Linked DNA regions of Callithrix jacchus. The main gene of each other region encodes a partner of the protein of the gene in region 4 in a complex. Links are inferred from orthologs where the notes say so. Each region holds a gene or a part of one and is shown on either strand. Other genes may lie near its edges.

Region 1 (5,018 bases), on a different chromosome or scaffold from region 4:
ATGACATCATCACTGACCTCTCAACTTCCAGGCACTATGCCTACAAACATAAAGGCTTCTACATACATCTACTGTTCCTCCCCTCATCTACTCTTCCTTCTCTCCTAACACAAGGAAAAGGGTATTCCTTCTTTCAAAGGCTGATCCGTTTCAAAAGCTGATCCATCCCTACCTTTTCAGGAATCTGAATTTAGTTCCTCAACAATACATTCATACTTTAGCCCTCAGCTTTGTAAAAAATTACTTCTATAAAACCCTTTGGTCATTATTCCCCAACTCCCCACCCACGCTCCACCTCAGTTACTAGTAAGCTTTCTATGTATTTCCCAAGACTGCAAGCTCCATATAGCAGTTAACTGTTTTAATTTCATTCACAACTGTATGCTCAATCCGAGAATATATACTGAAAAAGCAAATAACCATGATTACTATCATCCTTATAACTTTTCCAGCCAATAATAATTTTAAAATTTGAAAACAATGCAAAATAAAATTTATGACAATTACATTCTAGGAAATACAAAAAGACATACCTCCAGTTCATTTTCCAGTTTCATTACTTTAGTTTTTAATTGATTTTCTGTTTTTTAAAAAAAAAGACAAATGTTTTCATACATTAGCTACCACAAAACAAACTTTTAAATAAATTTAAATAACAAAATTAATTCTTTTAAAAGACTCCATCATGACTATAAGGTATCAAAAAGAATTATATGGCAGATCCATAAAATAGGAGTCTAGAATTGCTTATTATTAAGTAAATGTTATATATTAAAAATAAACTATATACATCTTATAGAATAAATTTGATTTTCTACAGCTTAATGAACACATGGAATTTATTATTTAATACCATAAACTTTTTTCCAAGTTGCTTACCAAATTTTGCTTGTTCTTCTCCAGCTTTTTCTACTTCTTCCAAAGCCAGCTCTACTTCTTGAGCTTTCATCTAAACATTAAAAAAAGGTTATTTCAATATGCCTTTGTACTAGAATGTAAGCACTGAAAACAAAAATTGTATTTATTATGATTCTTAGTGTCAGCAATGGGGGGCACATGGCGATTTTCAGTAAATATTTGTTAAATAAATACATAATTTTTCTTTCTTTTTTTTTTTTTTTTTTTTTGAGACAGGGCCTCACTTTGTCACCCAGGCTGGAGTGCAGCGACACAATCTCAGCTCACTGCAACCTCTGCCTCCTAGGCTCAAGCAAACTTCCCACTTCAGTCTCCTGAGTAGCTGGGACTACAGGTGCATACCACCATGATCAGCAAGACTTTAAATTTTTTCGTAGAGACAAAGTCTCACTGTATTATTCGCCGTATTATGCAGGCCAGTCTCAAACTCCTAGGCTCAAGCAATTCTCCTGCCTTAGCAACCCAAAGTGCTGGGATTACGGACGTGAGGCAGTAATCCAGGCAACTTTCTTACTTTCTTACTTAAGATTATAATTTCTATTTTTAATAGCATGAAATATTTTTGATTCTCCCTTTTACCTCAAGTCTTAAGTCTTACATCCAGTAATACAACATCTCCCTTTGTAATTTTTTTCACTACTTTTTTTCTGTTCCAATTGTTATTATTCTAACACATAATTTCATGTTTAAACTCCTCTATAATGTGATGTCTATATAGCTCCAGTAATCCTTCTATTTGTCATATATTATATATTGTTTTGCCTTCCTAAGGCATATTTTTGTACCTATCAACTGTGGTTCAGAAACCTTTATTGCCTTCTCAATTGCTGGTAGCATAAACTATATCTTTAAGGCCCTCAACAGTCTCTATCAAAGTACCTACCCAAGATTTGTTTTCTCTACAGCCTGCTACAAACTTGCTGCACCTTGTCTTCTCAAACGTAAAGAATATGCATATTTCCTATTCTCAATATTTACTTATGGTAACCAACAGCTCTAGAATTCCCTTACTATCTTACCACTGCATTGCCTTCCACTTAACTAAAACTACTCCTCAGTCTTCATCCTTTGCAAAGTTTTCCAACACCTCTTAAATCACTTCCCCTCTTAACAAATCCCTATAGACAGCCATTGTCTGCATTTGTCATTTGGACCTCAGGATATATCTCCCTATATAATTTTTCAATATACTCATTCTGTTTCCCCTACACACCCTTTTAGAAACTTTAAGTAAAAACTAGCAACGTTTTACACACTACAATTCTTAAGCCACATTTAAATATATTGCATTTTTGAATGGTGATGTAGATATTATCAAGTATTTTCACAAAGATTACCTTATAGAAGAAAAGATTTTTATGGTTCCTCTAATAGCCAAACCTACCATCAAAACCGACTATATACAAACCTTCATTAGTGACTGAGTAATTCTGAAAAGGTGTATCACATTTTCTTGTTTTTCATTGTTTAGCTCATTTACTTCCACCTAAATAAACAGAAAAGCAAATGTTTTATATTTTATAACAAAATATACGAGCTCTTCCAGATTGTGGCTACAGTTGTCACAGCAAAAAATACTTGATTAATAAACTAATCATAAGTTAATATATATATATTATTATTGATCAATTATACACCTTAGATAAGGAAATCAATAAATTATCTGCCAGTTCTTCTTGACGGGGCAAATCATCTGGATCAACTTTCATTATTTCTTTCCAGTTTATATTAGGTGGCATCTTGAATTCTTTCACTTTGCTCCACCTCTGTAACAAAACAGGTGGAAATTAGCATTTTCAAGGTACACAGCATTTTTGGTGTTCTAGTAGTTTACATTTTTTGCAGATTATGTCATTACAACTTTCTGATGTTAGCAAAGAGCTATGCCTTAGCCTCAACACAGACAAGTGGGCAAAATAGCCTTGGTCAAAATTATAGCAGTCGGCACCAACTGTCAGAGAGTTTACCGGCTAAATAAAATGTGACGGCTTCCTTGCTAAAACTAATCTAAGTTAGGACTAAAATTCTGGATCCCCTCCTCCACACTCCCTACCCTCAACGCGCTCGAACACCCTAATCGTGCCAAGGGCAAGGGTCTGTGGAAGCCTGACAACGGAGAAGCAGAATTGGGGCTAAAAAAAATGCGAACATTAACAATTGCAATGAGTTAAGTTGTACGGGAGACACAGGAACCGAAGCAAGGCAGAAGGATTGTGGACCCGAGACTGGAAGGGGCGGGGTAGCTACGCTGTGGCACAGGGGCCCGGAGGCTAAAGAACCTGAGCTTGGAGCGACTCGCTGCCCCTGCTTACAAGGATCCACCCACCTAGACCAAGCCTGACAACCAGCGGAGGTCCCTCACTATCGCAACCACCAGGCTGGACCCGGCCGCAGACCCTGACAGAGATCCCTATCGCAGTTCCACGCGGACTCTGTGTCCCGCCAAAGGTTCCCAAGTAAGCCAAAGCGGCAGCTGCTGCTAGGCGACACCAACCCCTACTCCGCCAAGGCCAGAATAAGGCCCCGGATGCAAGGAGAGCCTACAGTTCACGACCATGAGTGATACTTTACGTTTAGATTCTCCGTCGGAGTCCCAGGAGTCGGTGTTCAGGTCGCTGAGAAGGCATGGAACGAGGACTGCAAATCCCAGACTGCAGTTCTGCCTGAGGCTTGTGCAAGCTGGGAACTGAAGTCTCTGAGAGGAGGTAAGGCGCTCCCGGCATGCAATGCGTAAGGCTGCGACGGTACCCGGGCGGCGGAGAAGGACCGGGAGGCGGGAGGCCCAGCGGCTGAGGCGCTTAGAAGCTGGTGGCCTGAACGAGGTAGACCATGACTGTGGCTTCAGTGGCGTCAGTCGCTGGGCCGCTCTTCCTGAGGTTTTCCTAAGCCATCCCCTGGCGGAACCCCTCCCAGGTATAGTCGAGCTGTCGGTCCGCGGAAAGGGAGGAGTTGAGGGGAGCAGTCCCGGGTTAGAGAAGCATCTGCTATTGGGGCCGTAGGGCCTGGCCCCATTCTGAAAAAGTGGGAACTCTCCGCCTTCTCTTCAGCCGTTTGCAAGCGGCGTCCAGAGCCTTCTATAAGAAGGGGGAAAAAAAGTTTTAACCTTGTTTGGTATCAGAATCTGTCTTGGTAGTTAGAGTGAGAGCCACGCCGCTGTGATCCTGTTTAGGGGCGAGCGAAGAGTTAACAAGAGATTATGGCATCTTCTGACCCCGCCTGCCTTACCTGTAGTACAGTTCCCTTGGTGGATGGTGGGGCTTGAAGGTTGTGGAGCTAGTATGAAGTGAAGGCTCCAGAGTGGAGAGGTTAGTACTTGTCCGGGCCACTGCCGGGGTGGAGAGAGAAGGGAGCCAAGGACTCACCTGTACTGTTTTCACTTGCTTGGTTACCTAGGGTGCCCGTCCATGAAAGCGCCTTCTCTGGTGTTTTCCACTCTTGCTCGTGCAAGTTTTGCTCATTCCTCTGCTCACAGCCATGCTGGAGTATGATACACTTCTAGCTAACTTTCCTAAGAAGCTGTAGACTTAAATCTAAATGACATTTCCAACGATCTGGACTATACCTTTATTTTAAACGCTGCTTAAAAAAAAAAATACTATACTTGACTAAATTTTCCTTTTGAAAATAAGTAATGAGTTTCTTTTTAAACCACCAATTTGAGTAAAATAAGTAACTCAGCACAAAGTAAAAAATTACTGGTTTCGTGAGATAAATTTTAAAGACAGATTTATAGGAACAATTTTACTACTTTTCGGAAAGATTATAGCCAAATACTATTCATAATCTTGTTTATTCTTCATTACAATGCAGTAAAATAGGTGCTTACATTGTCCTCATTTTCCGTCTAAGAAACTGAGTAGTCTAACTTAAATAACGTGATTGAACACAGATCTCTCTGGCTGGAGGACATATTCTTAACTTCTTACTACCTCCTCATACATTCTGGGAAACGAGTATTTGTAAATTGCTTGTTCATCAATCATGCTATTTTTATTAAATATTATCATGTTTTAATTTTATAAGTGTTTACTCAGTAATTTGAATTAAATAGTCTTCATATTCAGTGTTTTTAATTCACAATTTAACATGAGATAGTTTCT
Region 2 (5,121 bases), on a different chromosome or scaffold from region 4:
TGTTTCCTAAGACGAGGTAAGCGTCAAAGGATAAAGAAAAATAGAAGTCCGTTTTGTATTACCGAAACTCCTTAATTCCAGAAAGAAATTTCTTAATAACAGAGAGCCACATCACAATTTTCAAGAACAGACAAACCTGAGCGACACCACACAACAATCAAAAAACCGCTAGCCACAACACTCCAAGAGTTATTTTAGTTCTAATATTTAACACGAAACAACGAAAAAAAAAAAAGATCGTCAGGAGAATTCAGATAGGAGTAACCAGGGTGTTGTAAGTCCCGATTACGCAGAGACGTTAATCACGTTTCATGCACCTCCAATCATCATGTTTTATCTGTCCTCCGAAGAGGAACAGGTAAGGATTATCCCACCTGACGATATCTTAATAAACGGCGGATATTCCGGACTCAGTGAAAGAGATTCCGTTAAAAGCTAGGGTGAGTATACAACGCGTCGGTACGAGCCACCTTGCTATTTAACATCCTTCCAATTGTATTGCTATATTTGCTTTCATCTCTTTTAAAATAATTTTTTTCATTCAGCTGAGAAAAGGAATAAATTATTTCTTCCCAGAATGCTCCAATCATTTACGTGCTGGACGTTCTAACTGTATGCACTTTTATTTACATATCCCCGCCCACTTCCTTCCCCCAGACGTCTACCGTAATAACCAAAATAGAAGCGATATCAAGTATCTTACGGTCTGCAGGACTAGAAAACAGCGTAGTTGTTTTTTTCTTCAATAGTTAAGCCATCCCAATTGTCCCCTGAAAACTATATAACTCTTGATCTTACTACAAAACATATTTTATTACAAAACACTAAATACAATGCTGATAATCCCATACATCCAACACATATCCTCTAGCAGAAGCAGTTTCCAAGGGGAAGACTGAAGCCTATGCCTTTCTTCTTCCAGGAATACGAAGCGGCCTCCCATGTAGCCTTCGACCATCAGGAAGGTGATCAGAAAGGTTTCTTTTTCAGCCCAAAGATGGCGATGAATAAAGCCATTTCAGTGACAGCTGGAAGGGCACTACCGAAGCAGGTGGTAGATTCAGAAATCCTTTCAATATAAATATGCAAATCTCCAAACTAGAGACCCCACCCCTGAAAGTATAGGGCAGGTGGCATGGGGATGGGGGATGAAAAAGACTACAGGATCTCATGCATGGAAGAAGGGACCGGGTGGGGGAAAACTTTCAGATTTAGGGTAAACCTTCCTCCCTCATCCCCAAATATTGGGTGTTACCACACCTGCAGAAGAAAAAAATGTACCAATACGTAGTGCACTCCCAACGCTCAAATATGAAGAAGGACAGGGCCACGGATGCACTACAGTGAGCCCCAATGGCTTGGGAAGGCACCACAGTTAAGGAAAGTCTTTGGATCGACAGATAGTGATGGATCAGAAAACATCAGTGGTGGGGTTGGCATCTGCACTCAGGTTCATCGCTTGCTCCCTCACCATATTGCAAGGGCTAGAGTCAGCAGCCCTGACTTCTGAATTGTAGGATGGTCATATGAGGAGAGACCAGAAGTAACTGCATAGATGGGACCTCAGGCTAGCCTACCCCACATCTAGAGGCCAGCTTGGACCCTTCAGATGAGAGGTAAGAGTAGGCTCTCCTACCATGCCACACAGGAGTGCTGACAGCGAATTGATATGCTCTGCTGGAATCAGCCTCCAGGGTTCTAGCACTCCTGGTTCACAGTTCTCTGACCCACGTGCTTCATTTCCTTTGCCATTTCTGAGTTCCCATTGTGCTTTCTACCTTTTGTTTGTTTGTTTGTTTGTTTGTTTGTTTGAGACAGAGTCTCACTTTGTCACCAGGCACCAGGCTGGAGTGCAGTGGCACAATCTCGGCTCACTGCAACCTCCGCCTCCCGGGTTCAAGCAATTCTCCTGCCTCAGCCTCCTGAGTAGCTGGGACTACAGGCACACGCCACCACGCCCAGCTAATTTTTGAATTTTTAGTAGAGACGGGGTTTCACCATGTTGGCCAGGATGGTCTCAATCTCTTGACCTCGTGATCCACCTGCCTCGGCCTCCCAAAGTGCTGGGATTACAGGCTTGAGCCACCGTGTCCCGCTTGTTTGTTTTTTGACGGAGTCTCACTCTGTTGCCCAGGCTAGAGTGCAGTGGCTCAACCTCGGCTCACTGCAACTTCTGCCTCCCAGGTTCAAGCAATTTTCCTGCCTCAGCCTCCTGAGTAGCTGGGGTTACAGGTGTGCCGTCACCACGCCCGGCTAATTTTTGTATTTTTAGTAGAGAATGGTGTTTCACCATGTTGGTCAGGCTGGTCTCAAACTCATGACTTCAAATGATCCACCTGTCCTGGCCTCCCAAAGTTGCTTGAAATAAAGGCGTGAGCCACCGCGCCCACCCCTCTTTACACACTCCTATAGCACCCTGCTTATCACTGAATTACAGATATGTGTCTGCCTCCTCCTCATGATAAACAAAAAAGGTGAAGTTCTCATTATTACTATTATTTTTGTAGACATAGGGTCTCACTATGATGCCTCAAGCAATCCTCCTGCCTGGGCCTCCCACACTGCTGGGAATACAGACATGAGTCAACGTGCCTGGCCGAAAACTGTTTTACTCTCATTTTGGGATTTTAAGTGCCTAGTAAACAGCAGGATTTAGCACATGTTTGAAGATATCCGAACTGGAGAGATTGGTTACAGCAGACACTATGGTGTCAGGTGGCTGAAGGGAGTCCTGATGGAAATGGTCGTGTGGGAAAGGTGAGCAGGAGGAAAGGATACAGATGAGGCTCTGGGTGCTGTTGAACATGGAGACTCCTAGAAGGAAACCGGCCAGCTCCACTGCAAAGAGGCCCAGAGTGACAGAGAGCGCGGCCACCAGCCTGCAGAAAGGAAGTGGACAGCCTCAGGCCCTTGGACTTCTAAGAACCCTCCACTCCCACCACCTCTCCGTTCTGACCAGCCCATTCCGAGAGAGCTCACTGAATGTCCTGCTTTTCATACTCCTCGGGGGTGAACCTGAGAGGCAGGCAGGCCTGGATGTTGCTGTCCTGGGAGCAGAGCAGAGAGGAAGAGAAGTGAAAAAGGGACGGGCGGCGAGGCAGGCCTGGGGGCGGCGGGGAACGAGAAGACCTAAGTGGGTAAGACACTGGGAGAGGGGCAAGATGGGGCTGGGACCACTCCGAGGTGGGAATAGGGGCGGACGGATGTCAGCCGTGGGTCTTACCCGGGACCAGAATAAGGTGATGACGACCACCAGATGCGCCAGGAGCGTCAGGAAGCGAGAAGGTACGAGCCCTGAGACCCGGCCCATGGCCCTTGGAAACAGGGGCGGCGGTCTCAGAGGCCGGAATTTCAAAGAGAGCGACTCCTGAAGTCTCCCTGCAAGCGGACAAAATCTAGACGAACGCCTCCTTCCCGCCCGCTCAGGCACCGCCCAGTTACCTTGGTAACTCCGTACGCGAACGCGGCGCCGCGTTCTCGAAAAACATCGCGAGAGCAGTATATTCTCAAGCTGCTGCTGGCCTCTTCCGGCTTGCGCAGGTCAGGGCTTCCCCGAATGCCATTCTAACCCAACGTTTGGGTATCCGCGCGTAGCCAAGCCCTTTGTTCCTGAGAGGGTGCGAGGTGGCACGGCCCCGCAGCGCCCGATCTACCCGCCCAGGACCGACGAACGGAAACCGACCTGGGCTAGCCTGGGGGCACCTCGGCTTCCGCAGTTGCCGGGAGCGGCCCCCAGCCCCTTCTACACCGACAATTGTGGATCTCCTGAGGCCGCGCCACCGCCATGCCGGGCTGAGGTCCGGGTCCCCGCCATGCCGAAGACTCAGACACGCTCCCCTTCCCCTCCTCCGTATGCCTTTAGCTTCCCACCAAGCTGGCCTCAGAAACAAGGGTCCCGAACTTGGAGAGGCGGTGTCCCTAGACTGCTCAGCAGTCACAGATTGTCACGGAGCCCCTGGATGTCTGAGGACCCCAGGCCTGAACTTTCCTTGAGGAAGACTGATTTCTCTCAGTCTAACTTTGCTCAGTTTGGTGAGGGATTTGCAGAGTGCAAAAAATGGCAGAGCAAGGGGACCGGAAAGGGTGGGAGTGGATGGAGGGAATGGACAGTCCCTGCATCCCTGGGAGGCTTGGAGCTGACTGGAACGGAAACTCAAATCAGATTTCTTTATCTCTTGGAGGTGCTGGGCCTCCGACATTACCCAGCTACAGTCCAAGAAGCTCTTATCATCGGCAACCTCATGACCTTTGGGTTTCAGCGCAGGTCCCCGCTGATCGGAAAGCTCTTTCTTCTCGCAATGCTGTCAAGTCCCATTCTCAAGGGTCCTCCCGGCTCATTTCCCCGGAGAACAACCGCTTCCTCTTCCTCACTCCCCGTCTCAGTGCCTTTAGCCAGTCTAAATATATGCCCAAGAGGCATTTCTCATTTCTTCAAATATTGTTTGTATTTACTGATTACCTAGTAGGTGGATTCTAGTCAGGGAGATCAATAATAGACATGCAAACAAATCCGCAAGATACTATATGCTATGAAAAGGGAAACGCTACAATTATAATTCTATAAAAAGAATGGGGCATTTGTTCTTAAACTTTATTTTAGAAAATTTGGCGCAGTAGCTCATGGCCGTAATCCCAGCACTTTAGGAGGCCAAGGCGGGCAGATCACCTGAGGTCAGGAGTTCTAGACCAGCCTGATCAACATGGTGAAAACCGGTCTCTACTAAAAATATAAAAATTAGCTGGGCATGATGGCGAGCACCTGTAATTCCAGCTACTCGGGAGGCTGAGGCAGGAGAATTTCTTGAATCCTGGAGGTGGAGGTTGCAGTGAGGCGAGATCGCGCCACTGCACTCCAGCCTGGGCGACAGAGCGAGACTCTGTCTCAAAAAAAAAAAAAAAAAAAGAACAGGCCGGGTGCAGTGGCTCACACCTGTAATCCCAGCACTTTGGAAGGCCAAGTCGGGAGGAGCACAAGGTCTGGAATTCGAGACTAGCTTGGGCAACATGGTGAACCCTCGTCTCTACTAAAGATACAAGGGGGGAAAAAATGGCCCGATGTGGTGGTGGCGCATCTGTAGTCCCAGCTACTCGTGAGGCCGAGGCAGGAGAATCGCTTGAGCC
Region 3 (4,935 bases), on a different chromosome or scaffold from region 4:
AAGAAAGTGAGAGAAAGAAAGAAGAAAGAGAGAGAGGAAGGAAGGAAGGAAGGAAGGAAGGAAGGAAGGAAGGAAGGAAGGAAGGAAGGAAGGAAATCATACATACATACACACATACAGCCAGGCATAGTGGCTCATGCCTGTAATCCCAGCACTTTGGGAGGCCTAGGTGGGTGGATCACGAGGTGATGAGATCAAGACTATCCTGGCCAACATGGTGAAACCCTGTCTCTACTAAAAATAACACCACTCTGGCCAATATAGTGAAACCTTGTCTCTACTAAAAATACAAAAATTAGTTGTGCATGGTGGTGCACGCCTGTAATCACAGCTAGTCCGGAAGCTGAGGCAAGAGAATCACTTGAACCTGGGAGACAGAGGTTGCAGTGAGCCGAGACTGGGCCACTGCATCCAGCCTGGCAACAAAGCAAGACTCCCTCTCAAAACAAAAGAAAGAAATAGGGGCCGGGTGCGGTGGCTCACACCTGTAATCCCAGCACTTTGGGAGGCCGAGGTGGGTGGATCACGAGGTCAAGAGATCGAGACCATCCTGGTCAACATGGTGAAACCCCATATCTACTAAAAATGCAAAAAATTAGCTGGGCATGGTGGCGCATGCCTGTAATCCCAGCTACTCAGGAGGCTGAGGCAGGAGAATTGCCTGAACCCAGGAGGCAGAGGTTGCGGTGAGCCGAGATCACGCCATTGCACTCCAGCCTGGGTAACAAGAGTGAAACACCGTCTCAAATAAATAAATAAATTAATTAATTAAAATAAAATAAAAAAAAGAAATATACAGTATAGTAAAAACATATAGGTCAACACTGAGAGCAAACAAATATGAATGTTTCCAGTTCCCAATCTGGGCTTCAATGTCTTTATCTGTAAAATGAGAAGAAAACTCATTTTCTTAATTACTTTCCTTATTAGGGAAGTTGCCTTCATTCAAATAAATCACTGTTTCTCTCTGTTAAGATAGATAGTAAACATAGTAAGATAATCACTATTCAATTTGCAGTATAGATAAGGACAGCATTCTCTAAGGAGTCATTAGGTAGAAGCAGCACTCATAGGAGTCTATGTAGTATAATACATACCATATCTGGATTCATAGATATGGAACTATACCTTTCCATATTCATAAATATGAAAAAATATCTTACATTTTAACTTCTGAAATGCTTTCTCATTCATATTGCCATACATGTGTAGCCTGACCTGTTCGAGAACTTAAATGAGGATATGTCAAAGCTGAACATGCCAGAAAGTTAATAACATGGGTGACCAAATTGAGATAGAAAACATCTTAACATCTTTGCCGGGTGCGGTGGCTCAAGCCTGTAATCCCAGCACTTTAGGAGGGCAAGGCCGGTGGATCACGAGGTCAAGAGATCAAGATCATCCTGGTCAACAAGGTGAAACCCCGTCTCTACTAAAAATACAAAAAATTAGCTGGGCATGGTGGCACGTGCCTGTAATTCCCGCTATTCAGGAGGCTGAGGCAGGAGAATTGCCTGAACCCAGGAGGCGGAGGTTGCGGTGAGCTGAGATCATGCCATTGCACTCCAGCCTGGGTAACAAGAGCAAAACTCCGTCTCAAAAAAGAAAAGAAAAGAAAACATCTTAGACTTTAGAATATGGGAAAAGACATTCTGAGCAGTTTCAGTGAGAACTAGGAACAAATGATGTTTTAGGTATAAAAAATAGATTTAATCTAAAGAGACCTTAAGAATAATGAGTAATATTCTATGATAAAAAGGACAAGTCCTAAGGAAATCTGTATTAGAGGCATACAGCATAGTATGGGTCAGGCTCAGTGGCTCACTCTTTTAATCCCAGCACTTTGGGAGGCCAAGGTGGATGATCATTTGAACTCACAAGTTTGAGACCAGCCTCAACATGGCAAAAACCCCATCTCTACAAAAAAACTGGTGAGGTCCTGTAATCCCAGCTATTTGGGAGGTTGAGGTGGGAGGAGGATGGCTTGAGGCCAGGAGGTAGAGGCTGCTGTGAGCCAAGATTGAGCCAGGGCACTCTACCTGGGTGACAGAGCCAGACTTTGTCAGAGAAGAAACTAAAATAAAAGAAAATAAAGAGAAATGAAAGAAAGACAAAGAAAGAAAAGAAAGAGAGAGAGAGAGGGAGGGAGGGAGGAAGGGAGGGTATGGTGAAAACACACAGGCAGAGAGAGAGAGAGATGAGAGAGAGAGAGAGAGAGAGAGAGAAAGAAACAAACAGTATAGTGAAAACACACAGGCCAAGACTGAGAAAGGAAAGGAAGGAGGGAGGGAGGAATCGTGAAAACACATAGGTCAAGACTGAGAGCAGGGATATTTATTCTTTCAGTCCCCATCTGGGCCTGAATGTCCTTATCCGTAAAATGAGAAGACTGGATCTGATTATGATTAAGGTCCTTTCCAGTTCTAAACGTCTGGGATTTGAAAAGAAAAATGTAGGGCTGACCGGGTGCAGTGGCTCATGCCTGTAATCCTAGCACTTTGGGATGGGCAGATCACAAGGGCAGGAGTTTGAGACCAGCATGACCAACATGGTGAAATCCTGTCTCTAATAAAATAAAATAATAAAATAAAAAATTAGCCGGGCGTGATGGCGGACGCCTGTATATACATACATACATACATACTACTCAGGAGGTTGAGGCAAGAAAATCGCTTGAACCCGGGAGGTGGAAGTGGCAGTGAGCCGATATCGCACTATTGCACTCCAGCCTGGGTGACACAGCGAGACTCCGTCCAAAAAAAAAAAAGAAACAAAGAAAGGAAAAAAATGATGTAGGGCTATTGAGGTTCACAAGTGCTAGTTTGTTCTTCCTCCCTAATCTTTCCTGTCACCTGCTCCCGTTTACCTCAGATTACTTCTCTACTAGTTCTTCTCTATCTTCGGTAAACAGCATTCCGGGTGTCGCCCTGAAGACCCCCGTATGAGGAGTCGGGGACTGGCACCGAGAAACGAACTACAGGCAACGGTTCATTGGGTAGCCGACTCAGAATCTCCCACTTCATTCGTGTGCAAACTGCAATCCTTCCAGAAAACCCTCTTCTGAGACTTCCGCGGTTAACTTTTCTGATACATTTCTACTGCAGACGAAAAGGTGTTTGAATGACTCCAGAGACTAGGGGCAGACCAAGGCGGAAGTGTTACTTTTGCCAGGGCCCACTTCAAGCCGTCTTACCTCGGGCATCCTGCCTCTGGTTAGCTCCACACGGAACACAGGAGAGCGCGGAGATATCAAAGTACTGGTTGTTATCGCAATTTTCCGGCTGCTGGAAAGGGAGAGAGAAGGTCTGGGCCTGTAAGATGCGAGGGAGTAACAACAGAAGGAACGCAGTCACGGCTCGGGCAGATAAAAGGGACCAAGCCGCCATTGCCACCCCAACCCCACCGCGCGTAGCCATGGTACCGACGCTAGCAGCCGCCCAGGCTCCAGCGTCCCATCAGCCTCTGCGGTAACTCCGCTAAGCTGATTGGATAACCCAAGTTTGGGTACCGGAAGTCTCTGCTGGTGCTGCTTGGTTGCTAGGTTACCAATCCTGACGGAAGTTGACAAGTCCAGTAAAGAATGGGTTAAAGGCCGGCTAAAGCCCAACGGTATTTTTGAACTTGTGCAGAGCTCCTCGACTTACGACAGGGTTACCGCCTCCCCGCAATAAATCCATCATAAATTGAAAATATCATAATTTATTGAATTATATTTACATCAGAATTTATTCAGACTAGGTGATTTTAACCTTAAAGGAAACTTGTTTAACAATTTGACAGTCCGTCAAAAAAAAAAAAATAATAACAAAAAATAACAACACACTGACTTAAAACCCAGTGAAGGATTACTATAGAGAAAAGATTGAAAATTTTTAAAAAAATCTTTCCTGCCAGGTTTGAGCACAGGAAATCATGTATGTGAGACAAAGTACGAAGCGGAAGAAAACTGTTTACTCATTCTGTTGCCAGCGGAATTTCACAAAGCCCTTGACTCAGTGACTGAACGAAGTCCTCCAGAAGAATGCCCTACAGACAATAAGTAGAATAGAGCACAGGTTTCCACATCTGTTGCTTGAATCACTTCATTTTTTTAAAAAAGATACGTTCAGTGATCCTGGCCCTTGCCTCTTCCTGTACATAAGATAACGACTGACAGGATTAATGATTTTGATTATGTCTCTGTAATCTATAACCAGATGTACTCTCCAACCAAAACTTTGATGAGATTTTGCTCCAATGTAACTTCTGAGCATGTTTAATGTAACTTTTGAGCGCATCCAGAACTCCACCCCTTGATATAAAAACTGTGGGCAGAAACGCTGCTCTGGAGCAGTCTAACATAAACTCTTTGAAAGACTCTCCAGGGTGGCATTCCTCAGTAAGACTCTGAAAAAAACTAACTTTGAGTCTTTAAAAGCCTTATTTTTTCTTTAGTTGACTTGTATATAAATTGAAATAATCTTTACATCTCTTGTGAATAAAATAATCTAAGCCTGGTGCTGTGGCTCATGCCCCTAATACTAACATTTGGGAGTCCACTGTGGAAGGATTGTCTGAGTCCAGGAATTCAAGACCAACCTGGGCAACATAGTGAGATTCCATCTCTGCAAATGCAATTTATTTTAATTAGCTGGTTGGGTGGCACATGGCTACGGTCCCAGCTACTTGGCTGGCTGAGGCGGGAGAACCATTTAAGCTCAGGAGGTCAAGGCTGCAATGAGCTGTGATTGTGCCACTGTACTCCAGCATGGATGTCAAAGAGAGACACAGTCACACGCAAAAAAGAAAAATCCTGGACAAATATATGGAAACTGTTAGAAGTAGAGACCATTTGTAAGGCAAAGATGGAAATCTAGAGTCTAAATTGGAGCAATGGAGGAAGAGAGAGGCAGGAGAGGATGAATAAAGGAACTATTCAGGAGAAAGCATAAGAAT
Region 4 (4,472 bases):
AGCAAAATTTCACTTTCTTTCTTTTTTTTTTTTTTGAGACAGAGTCTCACTCTATTGCCCACCTTGAGTACAGTGGCAAGATCTCAGCTCACTGCAACCTCTGCCTCCTGGATTGAAGCAATTCTCCTGCCTCAGCCTCCTGCGTAGCTGGGACTACAGCTGTGTGTCACCTGGCTAATTTTTGCATTTTTTTTTTTAGTAGATATGGGGTTTCACCATAGTGGTCAGGCTGGTCTGAAACTCCTGACCTCAGGTGATCTGCCTGCCTCGGCTTTCCAAAGTGCTGGGATTACAGGCATGAGCCACCATGCCTGGCTAAGATTTCACCTTTTTTTTTTTTTTTTTTTTTTGAGACGGAGTTTCACTGTTGTTACCCAGACTGGAGTGCAATGGCACGATCTCGGCTCACCGCAACCTCCACCTTCTGGGTTCAGGAAATTCTCCTGCCTCAGCCTCCCGAGTAGCTGGGATTACAGGCACGCGCCACCATGCCCAGCTAATTTTTTTTTTTTTTTTTTTTTTTTTGAGACGGAGTTTCGCTTTTGTTACCCAGGCTGGAGTGCAATGGCGCGATCTCGGCTCACCGCAACCTCCGCCTCCTGGGTTCAGGCAATTCTCCTGCCTCAGCCTCCCGAGTAGCTGGGATTACAGGCACGCGCCACCATGCCCAGCTAATTTTTTGTATTTTAGTAGAGACGGGGTTTCACCATGTTGACCAGGTTGGTCTCGATCTCTCGACCTCGTGATCCACCCGCCTCGGCCTCCCAAAGTGCTGGGATTACAGACGTGAACTACCGCGCTCGGCCCCAAGATTTCACTTTTTGTCTTTGAGATGCAGTTTGACTTTTGTTGCCCAGACTGGAGTGCTCTCGGCCCACTGCAACCTCTACCTCTCAGGTTCAAGTGATTCTCCTGCCTTAGCCTCCCCAGTAGCTGGGATCACAGGCATGTGCCACCACTCCCAGCTAATTTTGTATTTTTAGAAGAGTCGGGCTTTCTCCATGTTGGTCAGGCTGGTCTCAAACTCCCAACCTCAGGTGATCCACCTGCCTCAGCCTTTCAAAGTGCTGGGATTATAGGCGTGAGCCACTGGGCCTGGCCGAGATTTCACCTTTTTAAAAAAAAAAAAAATTATTTATTTATTTATTTATTTATAGAGTTGGGGTTTCACTATGTTGGCCAGGCTGCTCTCAAACTCTTGACCTCGTGATCTACCCACCTTGGCCTCCCAAAGTGCTGGGATTACAGGTGTGAGCCACTGAGCCTGGCCTGAGATTTCACTTTTAAATAATCTTTCTGTCCTTTAAGCTGGAGCTGGGGAAAAAAAAAATCTTTCTGGGTGCTGTGTGGGTGAGGTGGGAAGCTCTAACCTTTCATCTCTTGGGGACCCTACTCCCCCAGTGGTGGCACCAGCCTTGCTTTCTCTTTACTCAAGCCTCCATCAGGAAATCTTACTGCCTCTACTCTTGAAATACATCTTACATCCCACTTCTCACCTCTTTTCTTGCCCTGCACCTTGATCTGTCCAAGTTCATCTCTCACCTGGGCTATGACAGCAACCTCGCCTCGGGGCCCCCTTCTCTAACCCCCTCGTCTGCACCCCACATGCAGCTGGGACCCTGTGAACACGTAAGTCAGGTCCCATCTCTGCTCAGACCATCCCCTAGTCCCCCTTTCACTCAGGGTAAAAGCCAAAGTCGGCCGGGTGTGGCAGCTAATGCCTTTAGTTCCAGCATTTTGGGAGGCTGGAGCCGGTGGATCACCAGAGGTCAGGAGATCAAGACCAGCCTGTGCAACATGGTGAAACCCTGTCTCAATAAAAAATAAATAAATAAAATTTAAAAAGAAGAAAAAAAAAGCCAAAGTCTTACCATGCATCCCAAGGCTCTGAACAGCCTGGCTGGCACCTCCATCCCTTCTCCCCACCTCGTTCTGCTCTGGCTGTGCTGTCCCCACCAGCTGCATTCCATCGGGGCTCCAGCCATACCATCCCCACCAGACACTCCCCCTTCAGGGCCTTGACACAAGCTGTTGCCTCTGGCTGGGAGCACTCTTCCTCTAGATATCCACACGGCCTACTCCCTTCCTTCCTTTTTTTTTGAGATGGAGTCTTGCCCAGGCTGGAGTGCAGTGGTGCGTGATCTTGGCTCAGTGCAACCTCCGCCTCCCAGGTTCAAGTGATTCCCCGGCCTCAGCCTCCCGAGTAGCTGGGACTGCAGGCGCGCACCACCACGTCTGACTGATTTTTGTATTTTTAGTAGAGACGGCGTTCATCATGTTGGTCAGGCTGGTCTTGAACTCCTGACCTCATGAGCTACCCGCCTCGGTCTCCCAAAGTGCTAGGATTACAAGCGTGAGCCATCACTCCCAGCCTGCATCCCTTCCTTTTAGCATTTGCTCAAATGCCACCTTCTTAGTGAAGCTTCCTTGGTCCGCTCCTTGCTAAGGCAGCATCCCCACCCTCGCCCTAACCAACTCTGTTTTTCTCTACACCAATTACCACCAACTGATTTACCCCTGGAATTTGCTTATTTACTACATTGGTTGTCTAGGATATCAGCTTCACAGGGGCAGGAATTTTTGTCTGCCATCCATGTTCATGTTCGCCATGTCCCCTACTAGCTAGAACGGGGCCTAGCACAGGGGAAGGGGCTCAGCATGACATGAGATGGGGGCTGGATCTCCAAGAGCTTTGACTACCAGACTGAGGAGCTGAACTGTGTTCTGAGGACATGGGCAGAGCTATGGAAGGAGAGAAAGATGCTTCCAGAGGCCAGGAGTGGTAGCTTGTGCCTGTAATCCCAGCACTTTGGGAGGCCGAGGCGGGCGGACCATGCAGTCAAGAGATTGAGACCATCCTGACCAACATGGTGAAACCCTATCTCTATAAAAATACAAAAATTGGCTGGCGTGCGGGTGCACACCTGTAATCCCAGCTACTTGGGAGACTGAGACAGGAGAATTGCTTGAACCGGGGAGTTGGAGGTTGCAGTGAGCCAAGATCACACCATTGCACTTCAGCCTGGTTACAGAACAAGACTCCATCTCAAAAAAAGAAAAAAGAAGAAAAGAAAGATGCTTTCATATGCCAGGTGGAAGGTGGATTAGAGAAGGGCAAGAAAGGCCGGGCACCATGGCTCACGCCTGTAATCCCAACACTTTGGGAGGCCAAGGCGGGCAGATCACCTGAGGTCAGGAGTTTGAAACCAGCCTGGCCAACATGGAGAAATCCTATCTCTACTTAAAAAAAAAAAAAAAAAAGAGAGAGAGAAAGGCAAGAAAGAAGGCAAGGCCCTGGGCCCAAAGAGAACAGGGCAGGGACTTGGGGAGGGAAGGCAGGAGGCGTCCCTGACAAGGCCCACGATGGTGACCTGGGGACTGGAAGAGCAATGGGCTGCCCTAACATGGGGTCACGGAGGAGGCGACCACAGAGAGGAAAGTCAACAGAGGCCTGATGAGAAGGGTCTTGAATGTCAAGAAGCTTGAGCTTTGTACCAAGGGCACTGGGGAGCTATGGAAGGATCTTGAGCAGGGTGAGTAACATCGATTTGTAAAGATCTGTTTGGCCTTTGTGTGAGGGTAGATGAGAGGGTGGGAGCCTAAAAAGGAGGCTGGGTTGGAAACCCTAGGACAGAAACCCAGAGAGGAAGGGACTGGCCCTGGGGTGCCCAGTGGGCATTGAGGAGGAGGGAATCAGGGGCAGGAGGCTGGTCCCCACCCATCCCTTCTGTCCCCTCTCCCTCCTTTCCTACAGGCTGGCCCCGGCTCCATTTCCAGGTGTGGTCCCAGGACAGCTTTGGCCGCTGCCAGCTTGCAGGCTATGGATTTTGCCATGTGCCCAGCAGCCCAGGCACCCACCAGCTGGCCTGTCCCACATGGCGGCCCCTTGGCAGTTGGCGGGAACAGCTGGCACGGGCTTTTGTGGGTGGAGGGCCGCAGCTGCTGCATGGGGACACCATCTACAGTGGTGCCGACCGCTATCGCCTGCACACAGCTGCTGGTGGCACCGTGCACCTGGAGATCAGCCTGCTGCTGCGCCACTTCGACCGCTACGGCGTTGAGTGCTGAGGGACCCTGCCTCCAACGCCGCCACCATCACCTGCACTCCTGGATTCCCCGTGAAGGGCAGGATGGCACAGGGGTCAAGAGCATGGACTCTGGAGACCATCAGAGCTGACCCCAGCTAAGATATAGCTCTGCTTCTGTCCTTTCAAGGACCTCTGGCTCACTCTGGACCCAGTTTCTGTATCTGTAAGTTGGGGACAGTAAATGTGTAGGGTCGCAGGATGTTGGGTCAAGAGGCTGCTTGGCACAAGGGAGGTGTTCAGTAAAGGAGAACAATTCTTACAGGTGTCTGCCTCCTGACTCCTCCATTTCTCTGGTGTCCTGTTGTTCCTCCTCCCACTGACACCCTTCCCAGGCCCCCACCGTGACAGACCCTCTTCCCCAGCCTGTGCCTCAGCCTCACACTC

Evidence for each region. Proteins that work in one complex are often made in the same cells at the same time.
Region 1: B9D2 (region 4) and CEP290 share a complex: the UniProt entries of both Homo sapiens proteins name them as parts of the tectonic-like complex. The link is inferred for Callithrix jacchus from reciprocal best matches to the Homo sapiens genes B9D2 and CEP290.
Region 2: B9D2 (region 4) and TMEM107 share a complex: the UniProt entries of both Homo sapiens proteins name them as parts of the tectonic-like complex. The link is inferred for Callithrix jacchus from reciprocal best matches to the Homo sapiens genes B9D2 and TMEM107.
Region 3: B9D2 (region 4) and TMEM67 share a complex: the UniProt entries of both Homo sapiens proteins name them as parts of the tectonic-like complex. The link is inferred for Callithrix jacchus from reciprocal best matches to the Homo sapiens genes B9D2 and TMEM67.

Annotation. Positions count from the first base shown.
Region 1 is NC_133510.1:93,048,961-93,053,978, reverse strand, and holds the start of CEP290 (centrosomal protein of 290 kDa), read right to left. Parts: upstream 3,436-5,018; 5' UTR 3,245-3,435; intron 2,685-3,244; 5' UTR 2,658-2,684; coding exon 2,556-2,657; intron 2,405-2,555; coding exon 2,327-2,404; intron 950-2,326; coding exon 880-949; intron 581-879; coding exon 534-580; intron 1-533. UniProt on the Homo sapiens protein: Involved in early and late steps in cilia formation. Its association with CCP110 is required for inhibition of primary cilia formation by CCP110.
Region 2 is NC_133506.1:74,652,103-74,657,223, forward strand, and holds TMEM107 (transmembrane protein 107), read right to left. Parts: upstream 3,436-5,121; 5' UTR 3,311-3,435; coding exon 3,224-3,310; intron 3,048-3,223; coding exon 2,980-3,047; intron 2,880-2,979; coding exon 2,779-2,879; intron 1,358-2,778; coding exon 1,261-1,357; intron 1,040-1,260; coding exon 970-1,039; 3' UTR 795-969; downstream 1-794. UniProt on the Homo sapiens protein: Plays a role in cilia formation and embryonic patterning. Requires for normal Sonic hedgehog (Shh) signaling in the neural tube and acts in combination with GLI2 and GLI3 to pattern ventral and intermediate neuronal cell types.
Region 3 is NC_133517.1:33,426,434-33,431,368, forward strand, and holds the start of TMEM67 (meckelin), read right to left. Parts: upstream 3,436-4,935; 5' UTR 3,417-3,435; coding exon 3,194-3,416; intron 1-3,193. UniProt on the Homo sapiens protein: Required for ciliary structure and function. Part of the tectonic-like complex which is required for tissue-specific ciliogenesis and may regulate ciliary membrane composition.
Region 4 is NC_133523.1:36,633,932-36,638,403, reverse strand, and holds the end of B9D2 (B9 domain-containing protein 2), read left to right. Parts: intron 1-3,754; coding exon 3,755-4,068; 3' UTR 4,069-4,349; downstream 4,350-4,472. UniProt on the Homo sapiens protein: Component of the tectonic-like complex, a complex localized at the transition zone of primary cilia and acting as a barrier that prevents diffusion of transmembrane proteins between the cilia and plasma membranes.